Linked DNA regions of Arabidopsis thaliana. The protein of the gene in region 2 purifies or fractionates together with the protein of the main gene of each other region. This does not show direct contact. Each region holds a gene or a part of one and is shown on either strand. Other genes may lie near its edges. The genes, in order: HDH, AT5G10540, OASA1 and AT1G79870.

Region 1 (6,037 bases), about 22 Mb from region 2:
TATGTGAATTGAAGCTTATTTTCTTCCTTATTCATCTGATTATCTTTTGACTTTTGTAAAACAAAAAAGAAATAACAGAGTACAATGTTAAGATCATCTCTCTGTTTTACTGTGAGCTCTGGACTTACTATTCACTGTATCCAATAAATAAGTTGTTTAGAGCGATGTTAGAATCAAATGAGCTGATAGCTTTAGTTTCTGCGGCATGAGCCTAAGATTCATTTATGCATGTCTGATTTATGGCAATGTTTTTTAGTTCAATGGTGGGTCTTTGTGTTTTTAGTGTCTGACAGTGACAGATAGAAAGGAAATTGATACCTCAGATTGAGCAAGTGTGAGTAGAGTTTCAGCATCATCGAGTTAGTGCATTGTCTTGGTTTCTCTAAAGATTTCATATACAAATCCTATAAACAGTAGAGAAAATGAATCCAATTATTTGATTTGATATAACTCACATTCAATTAAAGCAGACTCACCCATTTAAAGACAAACAAAGATGTACCAATTATATATGGACATCAAGAGTTGTTTACTACACATTTTCTCCCCAATATTTAAGATCAATCAATATTACATGACAAAAACCAGGAGACTTGTTATTCTGTGAGACTTGACTCTTCTGCAGAATCATTTTCTGCTCTTTCCTTCTGAAGAAACTTATGGCACATGATGGTACCAACAAAATCAAGCATTCCATGTTTCACAAGCTCCAGCCGCTCCGAACTGTTCATTACAGAGAACCCAAACCGCTCAGTCCAAGTGGTCACAACCTCTTTTGCAGCCGGTAAGACCAGTCTACAAACTCCCATCTGAGACATTTGCTTCTCCAACTCATCCATCAGCACTCTGCACATCCCACTTCTTCTGTAACTAGACAATGTCGCCACCAAAGGGATCTCGACTACATCTTTGTCAACTCTCACTGCTGCCACCGTGATAGGCTCGTTCTTTCTCTCGATCAAGACTGTGTAAAACCCGCGGCCCACTCCAGTTCTGTCTTTCCTGTATATCAGTTCCTCAACAAGGTCTCTCCCAGAGAAAACATCATTGGTAGGCTCAAACCCTTGGTGAAGTATCTCGACAGCAGATTCTAGCTTGGAGATTTGTTCATCATCATAGTGTTCACCTTCGTTCGGAGCTCTCATCAATGTCCAGACCAAATCACCGTCGTTGCCTACTGCAATTTTACTTCCTAGGAGATTCTCAAGCGCGGAAAAGACTCTGTTGCATTGACTACTACAGAACCAGCCTCTACTCGAAACAATGCAAGAGTCTTCTTTCAAACACGTGAGATGGAACCTTCTCTGGCACTGCTCACAAGCCATCAACTTGCTGTTCGCGGGTGATTCCATTGATCCACAGATATCGCAGCAGCAACAAGGACAGAACCAGAGGTCTTCCTCGGGAAGACTAGACAAACCGAGGCAAGCATGGTGAAACGCTGAAGGACAACCATCACAAAGAAGCAAATCTCCACCCCAGTGACAAACACAACACACATCACAGTTCATGTCCGGACTACAATCTTTTCTACAGAATCTTAGAGACTCTTTTTCATGCTTGTTCTTCTGCTGCTTCTTTTCCATCACTTGTAATACCTTCTTCAGAGATTTCACCATCTTCGGCCTCCTTATCTCTTCACTCGCCATCTTCCTTCTCTTCTTCTGTTGCTCATGTATTACATCAACATTGAGACCGATTCTGATCTTCTCTTGGTCCCCATTAAACACAGCCGTATCAGAACCCTCTCTATTCATTATTATCTTCTTCTGTTGTTGTTGTTTTGCTACATCAAAATTTGGAACGATTTTGATCAAATCAGCAGACGGATGATTATCTTTTTCCGGAGCTGTGCTTTTGACATCCAAATCCTCGACCCTACCCCTTTTCTTACTTTTCTTCTGTTTTTGATTCGAAACATCAGAACTAGACTCTGAGGCAATATTGCTTGGAAGGCAAGACAAGTCATATTTGGGAACAATTTGTAGTTGCTGTTGAGAGTCTTGGTCGACACAACTCATACAAGCCTTAGCTAAAGAGTAGAACCACTTTCCCTTGGGAGACTTATAACGCTGCTCTTTCTTGTTCCTTTTGTTATAGTAAGAGATTACCCAACCAAGAGCCGAGAGATGTCTCTTCACCTTGATGGACAAATCCGATCGTCGTTTTCCGTTCTCCGTCATCTTTCCATGCTTTACCGTCGAAAGCCACTCTTCGATGGCTCCTGGACTTAGCTCTGCTTCCATCGGAACAATATCACACGAATTCATTCTTCAAGGAAACACGACTCTCGCTTATCGACTAGGGTTTTAGGCACATATAAGGTTCGAGAAAAATAAGGAAATTTTCCCTTAAACAAAGGGAACAAATCTTATAAAGATTTTATCAGTTTTAAATCTGTTGAATATTTTTTCCAAATATTAAATTAAAAAAATGGAAAACGTGATGCGAAAGTATCTGGAAAAATAGAAATTTGATTAGAATGTTAATTCCTATACATTAAGAAGTACGTGGGCCTTTGGCTCATAAACGTTTTCGAAAAATCTTTATACAGAAAGGCCCATTCTTGTGGAAAAATATAGAATTAGGCCCATAATTTCTTGTTAGTAGTGTTAAATATGGCGAAAATATTAATATATAAGAAAATTAGAATATGCTTCAGTAAAGGCCCAATTATTTTTTTAGCGGTGCAGATGAATGGGCTTTACGGGCCTTAATTGGTTTTGTAAACCTTGTACGTTTTAAGGCCTTTATTATCGTTAAGACAAAACAATCGCCGACTTTAGACTCTGTCGCCGGCGACACTCAAACTCAAACGAACGAACACTGTCCTGATTTGAGGAATCCGGTGAATCGAAACTAGATGTCCCTCAATCTGTCTCGTCTTTCGCTTCTCTCGTCCCCACGTATCTCGATTTCAACTCACGCTCCTCGGAAAGGTCACTCTCTTTTCTTTCACTCTCTGTTTTGTTCTTTATCGCCTGAGAATTGATGTGGATTTTTCAAATTTCAGTTAATCTTAGCTAATTGACTTGAAATTCAATGAAAAGATTCAATTTTTGGTTTAATTAAGCAAGTTGTGAGATAGATGAACGAATTTGTTGACCAATTGCGTTTTACAGGATACGTTTGTTGCTCTATGAAGTCTTATAGATTATCTGAACTTAGTTCTTCCCAAGTTGATAGTTTGAAGTCACGCCCTCGCATTGACTTCTCTTCTATTTTCGCCACTGTAACTTTCAAACTCTTCTTCTTCTTCTTCGTTGACCATTTTCCCACTTCTCTTATTAAGCTCGGTCATATTTTACTATCAGGTGAACCCGATTATCGATGCTGTTCGTAGCAATGGGGATAATGCTGTCAAAGAGTAAGTGACTTATTCTCTGTCTTTCATTTTCACTACTCTTATTCCCTAGAAGAGATGGAAATGAGGATTATATTTTGTTTCAGATACACTGAAAGATTTGACAAAGTCCAGCTGAATAAAGTTGTGGAAGATATGTCTGAGCTTTCTGTTCCTGAGGTAGTTGATTTAACTTTTGTATATAAATGTTTTGAATTCTTTTTCATTTGTATGTTAAATTAATTTCCTTTCTCTGTGTCAATGCCTTTTGTATTCAGCTCGATTCCAATGTCAAAGAAGCGTTTGATGTTGCGTATGACAACATATATGCGTTTCACTTAGCCCAAAAGTCAACTGAGAAAAGCGTTGAGAATATGAAAGTAAGTCAATTTAGTTACACATTACGTTCTTAAGTCTTCTTCACACTAATCTTTAGTCGTGAACTTTGTTAGGGTGTCAGATGTAAAAGGGTGTCAAGATCTATTGGCTCTGTAGGTCTTTATGTGCCTGGTGGAACAGCTGTTTTGCCATCAACGGCTTTGATGCTTGCTATTGTAAGTTCTCATGTTTTATACTTTTGCTTGTTCATTTCTCTTGTAATTTTGTAATAATCTTGTCTTCTTTTTCCTTACCCTATACTTCTCTCTCAGCCTGCTCAAATTGCTGGATGTAAAACAGTTGTTCTTGCAACTCCACCAAGTAAGGATGGAAGCATTTGTAAGGTAGTACTCCGAGCTGTCTTTTTTCCCTGGGAATATCCGATAGTACTTACATTTATCTTACTGCTGAGCTTATGTTTTAATCTTGTTTCAGGAGGTTCTGTATTGCGCCAAGAGGGCTGGTGTTACTCACATACTCAAAGCTGGTGGAGCGCAGGTGTGTCTGTGTTAGTTTTTTTTCGCTTATGTTTTCATGCTGGTGATTGTATTTTTTCTCTCTAAGATTGTAGACATTTCGATTTTGTTTTGCAGGCTATAGCTGCCATGGCCTGGGGGACAGATTCTTGTCCAAAGGTTGAGAAGATTTTTGGTCCTGGGAACCAGTATGTCACAGCTGCTAAGATGATTCTTCAAGTATAGATATCGTTCATCAATTACTTTTGTCCTAACTTGTTTGGAGTCTCTAGACTACTCTTTAACCTGCTTTTTCCCTTACTGCAGAACAGCGAGGCAATGGTCTCAATCGATATGCCTGCTGGTCCTTCAGAAGTCCTAGTTATTGCTGACGAACATGCTAGTCCAGTTTACATTGCAGCAGACTTACTTTCTCAGGTATTTCCATGAAAAAGTTGCAATTTTCAACATAACATATCGGGATGAGTTTGTGTCTGCCTTATTTGTTTAATTCAGACCTACAGAGAGCGGCTAACTTGTACATTTCTTTTTTTGGTTTCTCTGCAGGCGGAGCATGGTCCAGATAGTCAAGTTGTTCTTGTAGTTGTGGGCGATAGTGTAGATCTCAACGCCATCGAAGAAGAAATTGCCAAGCAGTGCAAAAGCCTTCCTAGAGGAGAGTTTGCTTCAAAAGCACTAAGTCACAGTTTCACAGTGTTTGCTCGAGATATGATTGAGGTACCCATCTCTTTACGGTTCACCTTTACTGTTACTATCTCAAAACAACATCTGTAACATCATCACTGTTTGTTCTTTAATTCTCCAGGCAATATCTTTCTCAAATCTATATGCACCCGAACATTTGATCATCAATGTCAAAGACGCTGAGAAATGGGAGGGACTGATTGAGAACGCAGGCTCGGTTTTCATAGGACCATGGACTCCAGAGAGTGTTGGGGATTATGCGAGCGGGACAAACCACGTTCTTCCAACATATGGATATGCAAGAATGTACAGTGGCGTCTCTCTCGACTCTTTCCTAAAGTTCATGACTGTACAATCTTTGACAGAGGAAGGTCTGAGAAACCTCGGCCCTTATGTAGCAACTATGGCTGAAATCGAAGGTTTAGATGCACACAAGAGAGCCGTTACTCTCAGACTCAAGGATATCGAAGCCAAACAGCTTGCATAATCCAATTGAGATTTATATTCAGACAAAAGAGGCAAAAATTCTTTTTGTATTGTATGAACATATTTGGTTTCCTGAGATGGAATAACAATAAAATAAGAGATGTTGGAAAACTCTTACCATAATCTTGTTTTTCATTCTTTAAATCTAAATCCTTCCGTATGTTTGAACCAAAGAGTAAGTTAATTGTGCTAACTTTCCCGAAACACAATGGGATTCCAAATATATCTTGTTCTTTACAAATGACAGCGACTTCAAAGATTATACAGAAAACTTCAGAGAGCACCAAAGAAAAAACTGGTAAAAGAATGATAAAATCGTATTGCTGATCAGTTTCTTCTAGCTCAAGCCGGCAAAGGTTCTTCGAGAACTGCAACACGAAAGTAACAGACCAAATAAAACATGTCTTGAGTTTAGTTCTTGCAATTCTAACAAGGAAAAGAAGAAGAAGACGAAAGGAAAAACCTTTTGTTTTTGTGGCGGACTCAGCTGGTGTGATTTCCGCATTGGAAGCGACAGGAGTTTTTGTTGGCACATCCGGAAGATCCAGCTTCTCAGATTCTTCAGACTCCTTTGTAGGCACTTCAGGCATCTCATCAACAATAAGCTTTAAGCAAAACACACATCAACATTAGTCTCTTTATCTAGTAAAGATAATAATACACAAATTTA
Region 2 (5,676 bases):
ATCTGAAACCATTCCGAGAACACCTCTTGGCGATGATGAATCTTCGAGGCCTAAGTCGTTCCTATGAAGCTCTACCTCTTGATGATTTTTGCTTTCACTGTTCTTGTTATCTGTTAATGTTACAAGGAATACAAAAAGTCAGTTCTATAACATGTCTGCGTAAATTTTCATAAACCCAGAAAATAAATTTGCATCAATGATTTTATTTTTTTCCCCCACTTTCTTAACAAAAAGCAAACAAATTTTATGTTTAGGTTTACCTTCAACAGCCATAGCTCCAGTGGGTTTTTTTTTCTTTTTCTTTCTTTCTTCCTCTAATAAGCCTTTGAATTAAATTTCCATAAAAAAACAGATTCACAGAAAATAAGAAAGGATACAAAACAGAGAGAATTATCGAAAATACAGAGCAGAAGAGAAACAAGAAAACAGAGGTTTAATGAGAAGTTTTGTAGAATTCTTGTTTTGTTTCTTATGAGAAAAAAGTTTGTTATTCTTGGAAGAAATAGAAAGTTAGAAGAAGAGTCAGCTTTTGCTGAGTGGAGATGGATTGGAATCTCTGCTATATTTATACAACTCCACCGTAGCAATTCAACTTTTGTTTTTATTTTTTACTTTCAACTGCAAGTCAAGTCAAGTTTTGTTTTTCTTGTTTTGTTTTTTGTAATTTCTTGTTTCTAAATTAGTAGTCCTATGATTTTAATAATTTTGAGGAAGATGAAAGGATTAGAGATTGTTGCCGTAACTAACGCATTTACGATGTAAAGAACTCAAACGGTTGATATATCTGGCTGGTTTGTGGGCATTTTCGTCATATAAAATAAGACATCACCTTTGCTTGTAATGAATTGAGAGTTAATATTAAAGGGATTTTGTTATGATTATATTTCACTCAAATTCTATTCTCCGCAAAATAGCTAATTCGTGATTCGTGATTAAAAAAGAAAATTAAATAGCGCATGTGATATTAAATAGCTCTTCTAATTTAGCAAACCTTGTTATTTTTTTCTTACATTTTTGAGCTTTTTGTTTACATGTAGAATGAGATTGAAAGTGTCGGAACATTAGGTTTTAGTTAATTTTGGATGACATTTTTTGCTAGTATGATTTAAAATTATTAAAACAACGAAAATTAGTAAAAGTTAAATAAAATTCTATAACCAAGGAATAAAAAATATGGATTTGCACTTATAGAAGTTGACAAAATCATTAGTTAAAAATTCGACAAATTGTGAGTGTGCTGTCTGTTTCTTCTTCTTTATATTTTCAATTTTTTCGTGGCGGCATAAAGAGAGGAAACATATGGCAGACAAATTTGACTACAAAATTAAGCCATCGTATCATTGATATGATTTTTTAATATTCAACTATTACTAGAATATTTGTATTCACAAATACTATCACTTTCGAGCCATAATACTAATACAAAAAAACAAGTTTCTACTACATAATCCCTGTTATTTGAAAGTTAATAACAAGAGCTATCCATTCGTAATGATGGCTACAATTGTTTTGGTTTACGAATAAACTATACTACTATTTTAGTAGTTTTCTTTCTCAACGTAACCATTGTCAATTTTTCATGCGTGACAATTTGGACCCACCTCAAACTTGCACCAATGGCCATATGGGATGCCATAATAAACACAAATCTTACTTTATAATATGAGGCGTGGATAGATCCTTAATTTTCGAGGATTAAAATGACTTTATGAGTTTACCATCACCTAAGGCGTGGAGAAAAAAAAAAGAGTTATCACCCGAAGGCATTAAAATCAACCACCTTTCCGTGAGACAAACCCAAGTGAAATGTTTAGTACTTGTCTATCTCAAAACGCCAAAGTCCAAACTCAATTCATTACATTGAAACTCCATTAGTAACAGTTAGGTTTTGTTTCTCAGACGTATATAGTCCATACGCAAAAGAAAATTCTTATATATACTACTTATAGTTTTCATGGTAACATCATTAAGTAAATTACAAATATAATAATCTACAATGACTCGGTTTTCTACTTATAAAGTTTGTTGTCTGAAGTAAACTAGTTCTAGTAATTTAGAACTAGATAAAAACAAACGATCGCAGTGTAAGTAGGGAAGATTAATTGTGTTAGTTGGTGAACTAAACCCGTTAATATATACTACCACAACCATTAATTTCTATCTTAATTTTCTAAAAAATAATATACGCCCAAAAATTAAATCGCCACCAAACTCACCAATGTGAATTTTCAGTTAGAGAAGTCAGTTCAACCGATTTTCTCAATGGCTCAATGCTATTGACATTTATTCTTCATTATTAATATTATGATTCTAACTCCCAAAGAAGCGTCTGTAGCTCAGTGGATAGAGCGTCTGTTTCCTAAGCAGAAGGTCGTAGGTTCGACCCCTACCTGACGCGTTTATTTTGTATCCTTTTATCAAAAAAAGTTTTATAAGCCCATTAGCCCAGCCCAAAAGAGTCGAGACACCAGAAAAACTGAAAATAAGACCTTGTCATTTTTTAGCACAAGGACCGAGTACAAACAGTGAAACACACACACGCACACACAAGAAACAAGAGTAAGAAAAAGGCTATATTACACACAGCAACAAGGGATCTGCTCAACGACCATGTTGAGCACTTGAAAACGTTACCGTAGCTCCACCAGAGCTTACCGATGTAGTATTCGAAGAGGATACATGATATGTTGCGACAGGCATTTTGGTCGGAAGATGAGGCACTGGTGCTTCAAGATTCAAGACTTGGATTGCTTGTTTTATTGAAGGCCTCGTGTTTACATCAGGATGAGCACACCATAATCCTACAATCATGAGACATTCTGCTTGTTTCTCATCGAAACCACCGATCCTGAGTTTCTCGTCGATAGCTGTAATAACTTCTCCTTTTCCATAAAGGTCCCACATTTTCTCTACAAGGTTTGTTACAGGCTCTACTCTTCCTTGTCTTCGATCCACAGATTTTCTTCCTGTAACAATCTCTAATGTAACCACTCCAAAGCTATACACATCAGATTCTTTGCTCGCCCTTCCGGTGCTTATGTATTCAGGAGCCATGTAACCAAATGTTCCTGCTAACCCTGTAGTCTGTGGACCTAGCTCGTGGTCCATCAATCTAGCCAACCCGAAATCACCAAGCTTGGCATTGAAATTGGAGTCGAGCATCACATTACTCGCCTTGATGTCTCTGTGTACAACACACTGCTCCCACTCCTCGTGAAGATAAAGCAGTGCAGAGGCGAGACCGAGAGTTATTTTGCATCTCACATGCCAAGCGAGATGCGGCTTTTTACCAAATAGATGGGCGTCAAGGCTACCATTTGGCATGAACTCGTATATCATTAGAAACTCATCTTTCTCATGGCACCAACCAATGAGTTGCACAAGGTTTCGATGTCTCAAACTGCTGATTATCTTTACTTCGGTTACGAACTCTCTTTTTCCCTGCTTAGACCCACCCGCAAACTTCTTTATCGCAACCATCATATCTAAGCTGTTTAAGTACCCTCTATAAACCGCTCCAAACCCTCCTTCCCCTAGCTTCCTATCATCTGCGAAATTGTTTGCAGCTGATGCAAGATCTTTATAAGTAAACTTTCTTGGTCCTGCTCCTCTTTCGAGATCTTCATTTATCGATGTTAAGTTTTCTGTCTCCTCTGCTTTCTTCTTCTGCTGCTTCCGTTTCAAGAAGACGATGAGCGAGGTAATAAAAAAGGTCAGCAAAACGAACCCAGAAACTGAAATACCAATTATCATCCCCTTCTTGTCATTCTGACTTTTCTTTATATCTATTAGCTCCAGGCTTGAACTGAACTCCCATGACAGAAGTCTATTTCCCTCGGTGACCCCTCCAGATGTCGCAGAAAACCCAATTGTAACTTCTGATGGCAGTACCTTTGAGAGATCAATGATGTAAGATAGGCTTGAATTCTCCAGAGGATCAGATGTTAAGTCGTAAGTCCAAGAGACACTCAAGTTTCTTCTAGCGGAATCATAGAATATCAGGACACGGCCTATATCTTGGTTGTGTGACGTTGCATTCCAAGAAGTGTAGTTAGAAGAAACAAGAGAGTTGTTGTTGATTCCTACATGGGATTTGACATCGAGAGGATCCCATTCTGGATTAGTAAATGTGTCGAACTCGACATAAACAAGTGGGAAAGCAGAAGACTGATTATTGGTTCCATTGAATAGACCCAAGAAACCACCAGCTGAGTTGGGAGGCAATTGGATTCTCGCTGGAGCTAGAAAGAAAGCAAACCCATGACCGTAATTACCATACCCAACATTACGGGTATCAATTCTGAAGGAGAAACGCGTACTAAAATCCGAAGGCTTACTGGTACCTGGATTCCATAAAGGAACCTGCTTACCATAAGTAGCCCAACCGGCACGGCATGTGTAGTCAATGTTGGTAAGCTCAACAGCCCCATTTGCTCTTGCATCTCCTTGGTATGCTATTTCAGAAACATCTGATCCAAAACGAGATATGTTAAATTGAACTGAACAGACAAAAGGGAGAACCAAAACAAAGGAAAATAACAGAATTGAGTTGGCCATTTGCAGGCAGAAACAACAATTAGCTCAAGAGACAAAATTGGTGCAACTGATATGTATATTTATCAGCAAGTCAATGACTAAACCTTGATTATAAGAATGAAATCATTTGAGAGCGTGATCCAAGCTATCACAGGAATTAAATTTTTTGATAAACAACCATAAAAGTCACCATATAGTTGACCCTAAGAGTAAACAGATCATATCTCTGTATTGATTGCTTATAACAGATTAGAAAAATGAGGAAGACATGTTTGATACTCATCCTAAATTGTAAGACAGCTTATGATAATCACAAAGGAACTCAAGTATATCAAAGAGAAGACTTATTTTTTCCTCAAGCCAATGGGTGAACAAGCAGAGTCAAACTTTATAGACTTCAAAAATAAGAAATCACAATCAAAAAGTCCATGTAACACTGATATTTTCCACAGAACAAGTTTATTCACAACCACGATTAGTTATTTGAACATGACATGATTAATCATCAACACAGATGAACCAAACTCAAGAACATGTCAATGCACAGTAAAAAAGGTCAAAAGATCTGTTCTTTTAAGAAATCGATTAAAAACATACACATCAAGAGACCATTATAAGCGAATATACTTCCATCAAGTCAATGCCAAACCTAGGATTAGAAAAATAAGATAGCCAGCTCAACCTCAGATAAAACTAATTAGCATCAACCTTAAAAGTAGTCAACTAAGTCTATCTGTTATCATGAGAGGAATGTGATAAACAATTGTATATGATCTTATCCTACGTGCAAGAACAAACCCAGATACAAAAACAAAATTATCTTTGAAAACGATGTGAAATCATTAAGAAAAAAGTAGGAACTTATTTAAATATTTGTAACCCTGGATCATGGCCATTCAGAAAACAATAAACTTTCTATGACTTATCCAGTTATCTTCATTTTCGTCGAACACTTGGTGAGCATGTCCTTAAACCAACCCAACGAACTACCTGAAAAATCTCCAAGCCCGGTTCAAAAAAAACTCAGAATGATAGAATTTATGATTTGACAAAATTATCCTTTAGCATTAACGAAACGCAAGTTTCTATTATTATCATTTTCGTCCCTCAAGTTTCCCTTAAGTCACATTATTGCCCCAT
Region 3 (5,903 bases), on a different chromosome or scaffold from region 2:
ATCTTTCTTCTTTACCTTTGATTACCATTAGATGTTTTTAGCTATATATTGGGGAAGCACAAGTTGTTGTCTTTTGTCATGGGAATCTGTGAGTAGTATCTGAAATGGAAAATGATGGTTTTTGGGTTGTTATGGCTTCACACAGATATGATTGAAGAGTTGATAATCAGGGGACAACAGCTTGATGCGGTTCATTTCACTTTTGAAGTTGGTCTTGTACACTTGTTCCCTCCTGTTCCTTTGCTCAAAGCTTATCTGAGGGATGCAAAGAAAGCTACAGCTTTAATCACTGATGATTCCAACAATTCTGGCCGATCTGCGGTACTTTCCTCCATTTGTGTTACTCGTTTTCTTTGCTGGATCCATTTGCAGGGATCTGTTTCTTCTGCACTCGCTTACCAATGTATGTGTGTATTTTTCTAGCATCTTGTGGCGCGCAAAGAGCAATCAGCACTTAGAGCAGTCTTAAAATGCATAGAAGAATACAAACTCGAGGAAGAATTCCCACCCGAGAATCTCAAGAAGAGGTTGGATCAGCTAGAGAAGACCAAAACCGAGAAGAGAAAACCAGCCGTGATTCCCGCCAACAAGAGAACCCGAGCAAGCTACAGCGGTCCAATGCCACCAGCCAAAGCAGGGCGTATCACAAACGCTTACGTCTCCTCTTTCCCACCGCCTCCACCAACATTCATCAGATCCCAAAGTCACTCACCTCAATACGGTGTACCAGCATACACCACATCCCCACCTACCATCTACAGCAACAGGAGCCCTCCATACCAATACTCACCCGAGGCGGTTCATGGTTCTTACCAAACCTCTCCGGTCAGTTATCCGACAGCATATGGTACCTACTGCAGTCCGGTGGCTGCTCCACCCCCTCCAGTTTACCATCCTCACCCGCACCACCACCACCATATTCAGCATGCTTACTACTGATTAGACAATGACAAAGGAAAAAAGAAGATGGTAAGTAACCAACCACTGATCTCTGGTGTCTACGTTTTGTCTCTACCTCGTTTTTGTTGTAATCTCTCTTTTTTTATATCGTATCATTTGTAGCTAACACTCTCACTCTTTCTGGTTCTGAATTAGTCTACCCTTGTGTGTTTATTAATCTAAATTATACATATCTATTCACTTTCCTAATGTTTCAATCAACGAATTTAGTTCAGTACTTAATAGATTCATCTTAAACCAGGAATGTTTCACTGTGATTATGTTATGTATCACTGTTTGTATTGGCTCATTGAAATCAAGATTTCGAAGTCTCATAGCAAGATTCGTTACAAAGTGTTCGTATTACACCAAAAAAAAGACTTCTTTAGTCTAAATCAAGAAGATGATTAGTCGTTGGCAGTGGCGAGCTGGAGAGACAAGAGTTCTTCCTCAGGGATCATCTTAATGTGACAATCAGAAGTTGGATACGAAGCACATAGAAGCGTGTAGCCACGTTCAACCACATCATCACTTAGCATCCCACCACTTTGATCCACCGTTCCGGTCACGAGTTTCGCTGGACAAGTCATACAAACACCGAGATTGCAGTCGTAGGGAACGTCAAGGCCAGAGTCAAGAGCCTTAGATAGAATCGTCTCGTCTGGTTCGACTTCCAATTCAGTCGTCTTTCCGTCGTGCTCTACCACCACTTTATATGCCCGAGCTATGATCCTTCCGGTGGTGAGAAAGTTCCGGCGGTTTGTTGTTGTTGAGAGTGTTGCGTTACGGAGTGGGAAGGAGAAGGAATTGGAGAGATAAGGTTTAGGGAGAGAGATTGTAGAAGTTTGAGTCGGGAGAGGAAGAGTCGCCATGAGAGACAGAGAGACGGAGACAAAAGAGTTTTTGTGTCAAGTGAGAGTGATGACTGTTTGTGGTGAATACGGAGATAAGGTTGATCATCGGTTGTAGATAGTGGTGGGACATAAAAACCGAAAACCGACTTAAACCGAAATTCATTAATGCATTAAACCGAATTAACCAAGATCTAATAAAATGAATTTTAAAATTTTAATTATATTCGTAATTAAGGGAAATATTTTTTCCAAAACAGTTTGAACAAATAAATTCAGTATTATTTTTCCATACTCAAAACTCCAAATCGGACTAACTGAAAAAAAGAAACCGAATGTTCAAACCCCAGTTATGGAAAATATTAACCGGACTTAATACGGATATGACCAAATCAGACCGAGAAGTAGTAATTCTGGTGACCAACCACCGCGTTTTTCTAAATTGATAGCGTGTGCCATGTGACTGACACCAAAGAGATCATATATCTCATCATTCGAAGATTTTATTCCATACAACCGATTTTCTCCATTTTCTTCAAAACGATTCGGGTCAAGGTTATTGACTTTCTCATTCAGGTATCATCTTCTTCCTCGTCCCATACTTTTTGATTCACTTGCTTATTCCTCTGCCGGTTTCGATTATATTTGTTTGGATCGGATAATTGTATGGGCTTAAGCTTATTTCGCTGTTAAATCTGTTGATTTGGTGTTAAGAGTGTTGTATAACTGGATTGGTGCTCATACATCTGGAGATTTATGTTTGATGATTTTGTATGATGTGTTTTTGGTTTGAGGATGATTTATTCCTTTGGTCTTACTTTTCTCTTTTTGTGAATTTAAGCAGTGAAGCTTGAATCATGGCCTCGAGAATTGCTAAAGATGTGACTGAAGTAAGGCTTTCAAGTTCTTTCACTGTTCATTTCACGAAGGAGTGAGCTTTGTTCCATGTTCATGTATTGATTGATTCTATTTGGCAGTTGATTGGGAACACTCCATTGGTGTATTTGAACAATGTTGCTGAAGGATGTGTTGGTCGTGTTGCTGCTAAGCTTGAGATGATGGAACCGTGCTCTAGCGTCAAAGACAGGTTTCTTCTCTAGTCCAGAAACTATGTGTTGTTTCTCGCTTCGAGTTTCGGTTTTGTGAAGACCTTGTACTTTGTTTATTTCTGCAGGATTGGTTTTAGCATGATTTCTGATGCAGAAAAGAAGGGTCTTATCAAACCAGGAGAGGTCAGTTTCGATTATCTGAATCTTCAAACCACTATTTTGTTTTTGTTTTCATTGTTTCTGACTTTTTGTTTGTTCTTTAGAGTGTGCTGATTGAGCCAACAAGTGGAAACACTGGAGTTGGGTTAGCATTCACGGCAGCTGCCAAAGGCTACAAGCTTATTATTACAATGCCAGCTTCTATGAGTACTGAGAGAAGAATCATTCTCTTAGCTTTTGGAGTTGAGTTGGTTTTAACTGACCCAGCTAAGGGCATGAAAGGAGCTATCGCAAAGGCGGAAGAGATTTTGGCGAAAACACCCAATGGTTACATGCTTCAGCAGTTTGAGAACCCTGCCAACCCTAAGGTATGCTTATTATTTACTATTGCTTTAGTGTATCTGTTTTTGTCTGTTTTTGAACCATATTAAGTCGATGGAATTTCACTGTCAAATGCAGATCCACTATGAGACTACGGGACCTGAGATATGGAAAGGCACTGGTGGCAAAATCGATGGCTTTGTTTCTGGGATTGGTACTGGTGGTACCATTACAGGTGCTGGGAAGTATCTTAAAGAACAGAACGCAAACGTCAAGGTGAGAGCTCCATCTTTTCGAACAACTGGCTTTGTTATCTAAGTGACTAAGTGGTGTGTCTTTGCACGGTTTCTCATTTTGTTTCCTCTTCTGTTAGCTGTATGGAGTGGAGCCAGTTGAAAGTGCTATTCTATCCGGTGGGAAGCCAGGTGATTTTGGTTCCCCCTGCGTTTATTACGATAACCATGCATGCATGTTCCTCGTTTCTCGGTTTGCCTCATGTCTTATTTTTTATCCTCGGAGTTTCCTAACACATGATGTTTGCTGAAAATATCAAGGTCCTCACAAGATTCAAGGGATAGGAGCTGGTTTTATACCAAGTGTATTGAATGTTGATCTTATTGACGAAGTTGTTCAGGTAAGACTGCTTTTCGATATTATCGACTGATAGCAAAACACAATTGAATGCAAGAGAGCTTCATTTCTTACTTGACTCTCTCCATTTTCCTGTAACGCTTTCAACAGGTTTCAAGTGATGAATCCATTGACATGGCAAGGCAGCTTGCTCTTAAAGAAGGTCTTCTTGTAAGTGTTTCACATTTCACAACAAAAAGCTATCTCCATCAGAATTACAACTTCGTTCTGTTTCTAAAAACAAAAGCTATACTGTAGGTGGGAATATCATCCGGTGCAGCAGCTGCTGCAGCAATTAAACTTGCACAGAGGCCAGAAAACGCTGGGAAGCTATTTGTGGTAAGCTCTTTGATTCTATCATCACCCCAAAGCCAATAAGCTCTGATTACATAACCCGGATTTCTTTCTGATTCTGATGTAAACGAAATCAACTGAATTATTTTACAGGCGATATTCCCGAGTTTCGGGGAGAGGTATCTATCAACGGTACTTTTCGATGCGACAAGGAAAGAAGCGGAAGCCATGACCTTCGAGGCTTGAACATTCTCCATTTCTTCTTAAGAGACGCCAAAATAAAAGAGATGTTCAGTTTCTCCTATAGAGACTCTTCATCTTTAGTTACATTGCGTCTTTGCTTCCATCTGTATCTTCTCTTGTGTGCCAATAAAAGTCAAACTAGATTTTCTCTGTTTCTTTTGTGAACCACTTGCTTGTTAATGAAGTTTAAATTTGCTATGTAACTTTGTTCATAAGTATCATACTGTTTCATGATCAAAACTAAACCAACATAACCCAAGTCAATATTTCAGGCTAAATATAAGATTAGGATAAGAAGAAGGTAATGCTCAAAAGGAGTGATTCCGATAATTCTCTTTATCATCATCTACACAAATCAACAATGTTTCGATTTCTCATTGCAATCACTAAAAATTGTACACACAAATTTTACCATTTTCAATTCACAGGATCAGCTGAAGAAGTCTTGAACACCTCTTCCGATGAACACTCGATCAGAGAGTTCAGCCAAAAGGAAATTGACAGTGAGCAAGACGACGCTAGAGCCAGCGATAACACCGAGCACGACGCCGGTAGTTCCGAGAACTTTCTGAAACGCCGGCCACTCAATCTCCTTCACTTCCTCCGCAACTCCACTAAGAAACTCGTTCTTCCCTTTCTCTTCCTCCGCCGTTTTCCTCTGCTCCATCGCTGCTTTTATCTCTGCTCCTATCGCGCTAATCTCCACTTCCTTATCTTCTCCGCTTCCACTCTCTTCCGCCGGTGACGGAGTCGCTTCTGATTCCGATTCAGATCCAGCTGTATCTCGTCTCTGTTCTATAGCCTTAGCCACAAAACACGCCGATTTCCTCAGATTACTCGTCGTCATAGTTCTTATCTCAGTGTAAACCGGAAATACACGGAGATTAGACAGTGACGGTTTTGTATCCCGGAGACTCCTGGTTATTCCGGTGACCGGCGGCGAGAATTGTGCGGTTAGTGACATTTTTCGAAATTGGGAACTTTTTTAAGTTTTCTCAATTTTAGATTTGTGGATAATTCAGATATCTGAAGACTGAAGTAAATGATCAGATACAGCAATGAGTATAGTAAGAGTTGCTACAATTATTATGGGCCTTATAAAGCCCAAATATTTATTTGAAAAAATTTAAATTTAGGATAAAAAATGCTCTGGCGACGGCGACGGAGAAAGTAACCAGAGGAGCGTATCGGCGAAAGCAGAGACGATGAATCTGTGAGTATGTTTCGGATTCAAATAGAGATAACAGAATAACAGTTCGTGCAAGTATTCTCTATCGGCGACGACGTCTCTCGTTAAATCTCTAGCTTCCACCATCTCTCTCATCGATCTTCCGAAATCTCTGTACGGATCCGGTGACTCTATGTGCTTCATTATCGCCGTCCCGCCGCTTAAAAGCTTCGAAACGGAGGTGGTGGT
Region 4 (4,354 bases), on a different chromosome or scaffold from region 2:
GAATGAGCAAAATGGTCTCAGCTCGCTCTTCGAAGACCTCTCGCTTCTCCAGACTTACTCCGGAGGCCCAGGGTGCCGATGATTTGTTGTCTTTATAAACCATTTTGCGTTTCCATATAATGATTGATGCCTCGATTCTGTTTTTGAGGTCCACGATCTTGTGCTCCGACGACATGTCCATGCTGCTCAGGAACTGGTCCGGGTCAAAGAAGTCCACCGTTATATTCTTGTACATCTGATCCCCGAGACTCGCCCTCCCGTTCTGTTTATTTATTTATTACAAACTAAACAAGTGAGTATTATTCTTCATCAACTCTTCTAATCAATAACATCAATTGTTGGTGTCTTTTTTTTTTTTTACCTTTGGGAGAGAGTCGATGTAGCTCTCAGGTATCTCCATCTCGAACAAAACCTGTGCGTTTATGGCCATGGCTGCCTTTAGAACCTGGTTTACACAATCTTTCTGGTACTGCAAAAACCTTCTTGAAGCTTCTGATAGACCATCTGGTGGAACTTTGACGGTCGGAATCCACCATTTTTCGTCGTTTCTCTTACCGTCTAAGTCAGGGGAGTCTTTTGAGATATAGCTGAACTCGCTTTGGTCCTTGAAATTTTCTAGACAATCCTAGGTAGAAAAGGGGGATAAGAGGATGCTTTTGAATATCCTAAATGAAATTATTAAAGTAGGGTTGATATTTGGTCAACGAGAGAGAGAGAGAGAGAGGTCTTACGATGAGCATGGCGTCCAGTTTCTTCAATGCGGGGATATTCATGTGGAGGTCAGTACGTTGGCGTGTGGTCATTATCTGTTAAATCAATACCAACAGAATAAGGGAATCATTGTATGTTACCAAATGAAATATAATGCAGCAGCAGCAGCAGATAGACAACCTCCATATTGGTCCCATCTTTATTTTTCTGCTGAGATGGAGCAAACTCAACCACGTAATCGGTCACGGAGAGAAGCCAATCAATCTCTTTTCTCCATCTTGCTCTTCTTTCTGCAGGCATTGGCTCCAAGCGCCGTTGCTCTCCGAACACGGAAGCTATACCAACAAGATAAACATGAGATATTGGTTGCTGGTTAATATAAACTAAGTGTAATAACAAAAGAGGGTCCTAAAGCAACCTGCAAGGTTTGTGATTGCGTTTGAAAGGGCGAGAGCAGAGGATACTCCTTTGCCTCCACCGGAATTGTCCTCTCCCAGCAACAGCTTGGAGAAGCGCTCTTTCATCTGCTCCATGTCTGCCAAAAGCTGCCTTTCTCTAGCCTGTGAGGCGGCGAGGGCGGCGAGGACTGCTTCATCCGCAGCCGATCTTGAAAGTGGTGGACCCTGACTAGGATGAATAATGGTCAATGGTTCAGCGTCATGGGATCCGGTGGCAGCCTCATCTAAACCGGTCTCGACGCTGAGACTCTTGTTGTGTCTCGTAGCACTATTGTTGTCGTTGTTCCTCCATTTGAAATTGAAGAGCCTGCTCCTATAGGTTTCCTGTTCTTGTTCCGAAGCACGAACCATTCCTGGTCTCTTGATGGCAATAGAGAATTAGAGAGGAGAGAGAGAGAAAGAGAGAGGATCAAATGGGCCTCTCTTGAGATGGGGAGAATCAAAAGGGAAGGAGAAGCTAATCGAGCCGCAAAACAATAAAGGGTAATTGTTACAGTGATTTTGGCTTTGAGAAAATTGTGGAGCTTTCTTCTTTTGCTTCCTTTTTTTGGAAGATGGGACGTGGGGCGCATGTTTCAGACCACACCTCTTAATTTTAACTAATCATTATTTAGGATTTTGAACATTGATAATTAGAGATAGAGAGCCGTTTAAATTATAAAATGTTATCATATAGTAACATACTAAAATGTGATTACACCCTTGTCACTGGATTCCCTAAACATGCAATGTCAACGGGGAATCTGCTACGTTTCCATACACATACAGTGTATGTCTTCTTGTGTTTGTATCATGTTCATGAATCCTACAACAATTTGCATGAATATCATCAAACGTGCAATGTTGTCTTTAAACATAAGTCATGATTTCGGAACCAAGAGGAAAACTTGAAAAGGGTCATTTAGTGGCCCATAAAAAGCGGATAATATCAATTATGGGCCCAAAAATAGGCCCATCTTTATCGTCAACCTCCGATAAATTATACACAGACCTCTCACTGACTCAATCATTTGCAGAAGAAAAATAAAAAAAAAAAACAGAGAAAAGGAGATATGGAATCAATCGGAGTCCTTATGATGTGCCCCATGTCCTCCTACCTCGAGAACGAGCTTGAGAAGCGCTTCAACCTTCTTCGCTTCTGGACTTCTCCGGAGAAATCCGTCCTCCTAGAAACTCATCGGAACTCCATCCGCGCCGTCGTTGGGAATGCTTCTGCCGGCGCCGATGCTCAGCTCATCAGCGATCTGCCCAACCTTGAGATTGTATCCAGCTTCAGCGTCGGGCTCGACAAGATCGATTTGGGGAAATGCAAAGAAAAAGGGATCCGCGTCACCAACACCCCCGACGTTCTCACCGAAGACGTCGCAGATCTCGCCATCGGGCTTATCCTGGCTCTCCTTCGACGGCTGTGTGAGTGCGATCGCTATGTAAGGAGCGGAAAATGGAAGCAAGGTGAATTCCAACTCACTACCAAGGTTTCTACTTCTTACCCACTATTGATTGATTGGAAAAGAGCTCTCTGCCCTATCTTATCTTTGGTCTTCTATCTCTGCTTTAGCGTCACATTCTTTCTTTCTTTTGGTTGACTCAGTTTAGTGGAAAATCCGTGGGGATCATTGGTCTAGGTAGAATTGGGACTGCCATCGCAAAGAGGGCTGAAGCCTTTAGCTGCCCAATCAATTACTACTCAAGAACCATTAAGCCTGATGTCGCCTACAAGTATTATCCGACGGTGGTTGACCTTGCTCAAAACTCAGACATCCTCGTCGTCGCATGCCCGTTGACCGAGCAGACCAGACACATTGTGGACCGGCAGGTCATGGATGCATTAGGAGCTAAGGGCGTCCTCATAAACATTGGCCGTGGACCACATGTTGATGAGCAAGAGCTTATTAAAGCTCTAACAGAAGGCCGCCTAGGTGGGGCTGCCCTTGATGTGTTTGAGCAGGAGCCTCACGTGCCCGAGGAGCTCTTTGGCCTTGAGAATGTAGTTCTCCTCCCTCACGTTGGGAGTGGCACTGTGGAAACACGGAATGCCATGGCCGATCTTGTCGTGGGTAACTTGGAAGCGCACTTTTCTGGGAAATCACTTCTGACTCCGGTCGTCTGAGTCATGTGACACATTTGGGATTTGGTTTCACTTCATTTGAAAGGTTTTTATGTTAACGAACTCATGAAAAGGGTAATTTCTCTTCCAAAAGAAAGTTGCACTGTCGTATATAAGGAACGGATTTGAACACTAGGCGAATCCTCTCCGTTTTATGTCTCTTACTCATCTTTCTTTTCACAAAGTATTGGTCTAGTATACGAGTGGCGCATACGGCAATACGTCAAGTCATTAACCATCCCAGACCAAAAAACGTTTACAAAACTACTCATAGATGTCAGTCAAGTGAAGCAATATCTATTTTGTTGAGAATCAGCTGAACCTAAAAAAACGTAGAGAAGAGGATGACATAAAACAAAACCCAAAACTTTAATTAGGGCTCCTTTCGGGCCTTCTTGGTAGGTTGCACGTTTTCAAAACACTCATCTTTGCCTTTTTCCTTTTTGTGACCTTCTTTCCTGATGCACATTAACAAAGAATCTTGGAGTTAGGTTGGTAAACAACCAATGAAGTACCAGCAAGGAGAACAAATGAGTGGTGGTACAAGCCAAATCCCAAGTATGTTCCCTACAATGAAGAATAAACAAGGTTTGGTTTGATGTCATACCCTCCTTCCAGCTCAGCTGATGATAGTCTTTTCCACAACTCTCTCTCCATCTCCCCTGAAGGCCATTAGTACACTAGTCATTTTCAACGTTTCTATGATTAACTCCATTTCTTTGGTATAACTAACACCATGGAATTGCCACCTTACCATTAATTGCTTCTAAGGCTACTGAGAAGTTATTCTTCACAACTAAACCTCCAACAAACTCCACAGCTGCACGGGCTTTCATTGCTGTTTCTGAATCTGTGAACCAAACGTAACCCGAATCCAATCCACCAGAGTATTCTATGTGCTGCAGTAAGCACAGGAAAAGATGATAACTCAACAATCACTTTTTAAGGGATTGGTGGTTTGACAAAAAGTGTTGCAACTTACTTCAACGCTGCCAAATCTTTGAAAAAGATCCTTGAGAACCTCAGAGCTGACAGAATTACTGTTGTTCCATGGGGGAACCACAAGTTGATCAGTGTT

What was found.
Region 1: the proteins of AT5G10540 (region 2) and HDH fractionate together in Arabidopsis thaliana (co-fractionation; one large-scale study listed by BioGRID). This does not show direct contact.
Region 3: the proteins of AT5G10540 (region 2) and OASA1 fractionate together in Arabidopsis thaliana (co-fractionation; one large-scale study listed by BioGRID). This does not show direct contact.
Region 4: the proteins of AT5G10540 (region 2) and AT1G79870 fractionate together in Arabidopsis thaliana (co-fractionation; one large-scale study listed by BioGRID). This does not show direct contact.

What each region holds. Positions count from the first base shown.
Region 1 is NC_003076.8:25,564,931-25,570,967, reverse strand, and holds HDH (histidinol dehydrogenase), read left to right. Parts: upstream 1-2,761; 5' UTR 2,762-2,863; coding exon 2,864-2,939; exon of another isoform or gene 2,940-3,088; coding exon of another isoform or gene 3,089-3,122; coding exon 3,123-3,232; intron 3,233-3,314; coding exon 3,315-3,367; intron 3,368-3,450; coding exon 3,451-3,523; intron 3,524-3,621; coding exon 3,622-3,723; intron 3,724-3,795; coding exon 3,796-3,897; intron 3,898-3,993; coding exon 3,994-4,065; intron 4,066-4,156; coding exon 4,157-4,219; intron 4,220-4,314; coding exon 4,315-4,416; intron 4,417-4,503; coding exon 4,504-4,614; intron 4,615-4,743; coding exon 4,744-4,914; intron 4,915-5,002; coding exon 5,003-5,368; 3' UTR 5,369-5,537; downstream 5,538-6,037. Other genes in the region: AT5G63900 (Acyl-CoA N-acyltransferase with RING/FYVE/PHD-type zinc finger domain-containing protein), read right to left, coding at 597-2,270; VPS20.1 (SNF7 family protein), read right to left, coding at 5,710-5,735, 5,831-5,972. UniProt on the Arabidopsis thaliana protein: Catalyzes the sequential NAD-dependent oxidations of L-histidinol to L-histidinaldehyde and then to L-histidine.
Region 2 is NC_003076.8:3,322,377-3,328,052, forward strand, and holds the start of AT5G10540 (Zincin-like metalloproteases family protein), read left to right. Parts: upstream 1-2,435; 5' UTR 2,436-2,601; coding exon of another isoform or gene 2,602-4,557; 5' UTR 4,558-5,676. Other genes in the region: RBK1 (ROP binding protein kinases 1), read right to left, coding at 1-110, 261-273; AT5G10530 (Concanavalin A-like lectin protein kinase family protein), read right to left, coding at 2,602-4,557. UniProt on the Arabidopsis thaliana protein: Oligopeptidase that may be involved in the degradation of proteasome-generated peptides. Binds salicylic acid.
Region 3 is NC_003075.7:8,516,795-8,522,697, reverse strand, and holds OASA1 (O-acetylserine (thiol) lyase (OAS-TL)), read left to right. Parts: upstream 1-2,101; 5' UTR 2,102-2,366; exon of another isoform or gene 2,367-2,561; intron 2,562-2,631; exon of another isoform or gene 2,632-2,634; 5' UTR 2,635-2,647; coding exon 2,648-2,680; intron 2,681-2,767; coding exon 2,768-2,877; intron 2,878-2,964; coding exon 2,965-3,022; intron 3,023-3,102; coding exon 3,103-3,366; intron 3,367-3,457; coding exon 3,458-3,595; intron 3,596-3,692; coding exon 3,693-3,744; intron 3,745-3,873; coding exon 3,874-3,953; intron 3,954-4,060; coding exon 4,061-4,120; intron 4,121-4,207; coding exon 4,208-4,288; intron 4,289-4,396; coding exon 4,397-4,489; 3' UTR 4,490-4,738; downstream 4,739-5,903. Other genes in the region: AT4G14900 (FRIGIDA-like protein), read left to right, coding at 146-321, 424-939; FdC1 (2Fe-2S ferredoxin-like superfamily protein), read right to left, coding at 1,347-1,811; SECE1 (secE/sec61-gamma protein transport protein), read right to left, coding at 4,917-5,450; OFP11 (ovate family protein 11), read right to left, coding at 5,619-5,903. UniProt on the Arabidopsis thaliana protein: Acts as a major cysteine synthase, probably involved in maintaining organic sulfur level.
Region 4 is NC_003070.9:30,042,573-30,046,926, forward strand, and holds AT1G79870 (D-isomer specific 2-hydroxyacid dehydrogenase family protein), read left to right. Parts: upstream 1-2,173; 5' UTR 2,174-2,221; coding exon 2,222-2,644; intron 2,645-2,760; coding exon 2,761-3,279; 3' UTR 3,280-3,576; downstream 3,577-4,354. Other genes in the region: ROPGEF12 (RHO guanyl-nucleotide exchange factor 12), read right to left, coding at 1-262, 362-625, 732-806, 892-1,046, 1,130-1,520; La2 (RNA recognition motif (RRM)-containing protein), read right to left, coding at 3,650-3,734, 3,884-3,938, 4,031-4,175, 4,259-4,354. UniProt on the Arabidopsis thaliana protein: Catalyzes the NADPH-dependent reduction of glyoxylate and hydroxypyruvate (HP) into glycolate and glycerate in the cytoplasm, thus providing a cytosolic bypass to the photorespiratory core cycle. Mostly active in the presence of NADPH and hydroxypyruvate.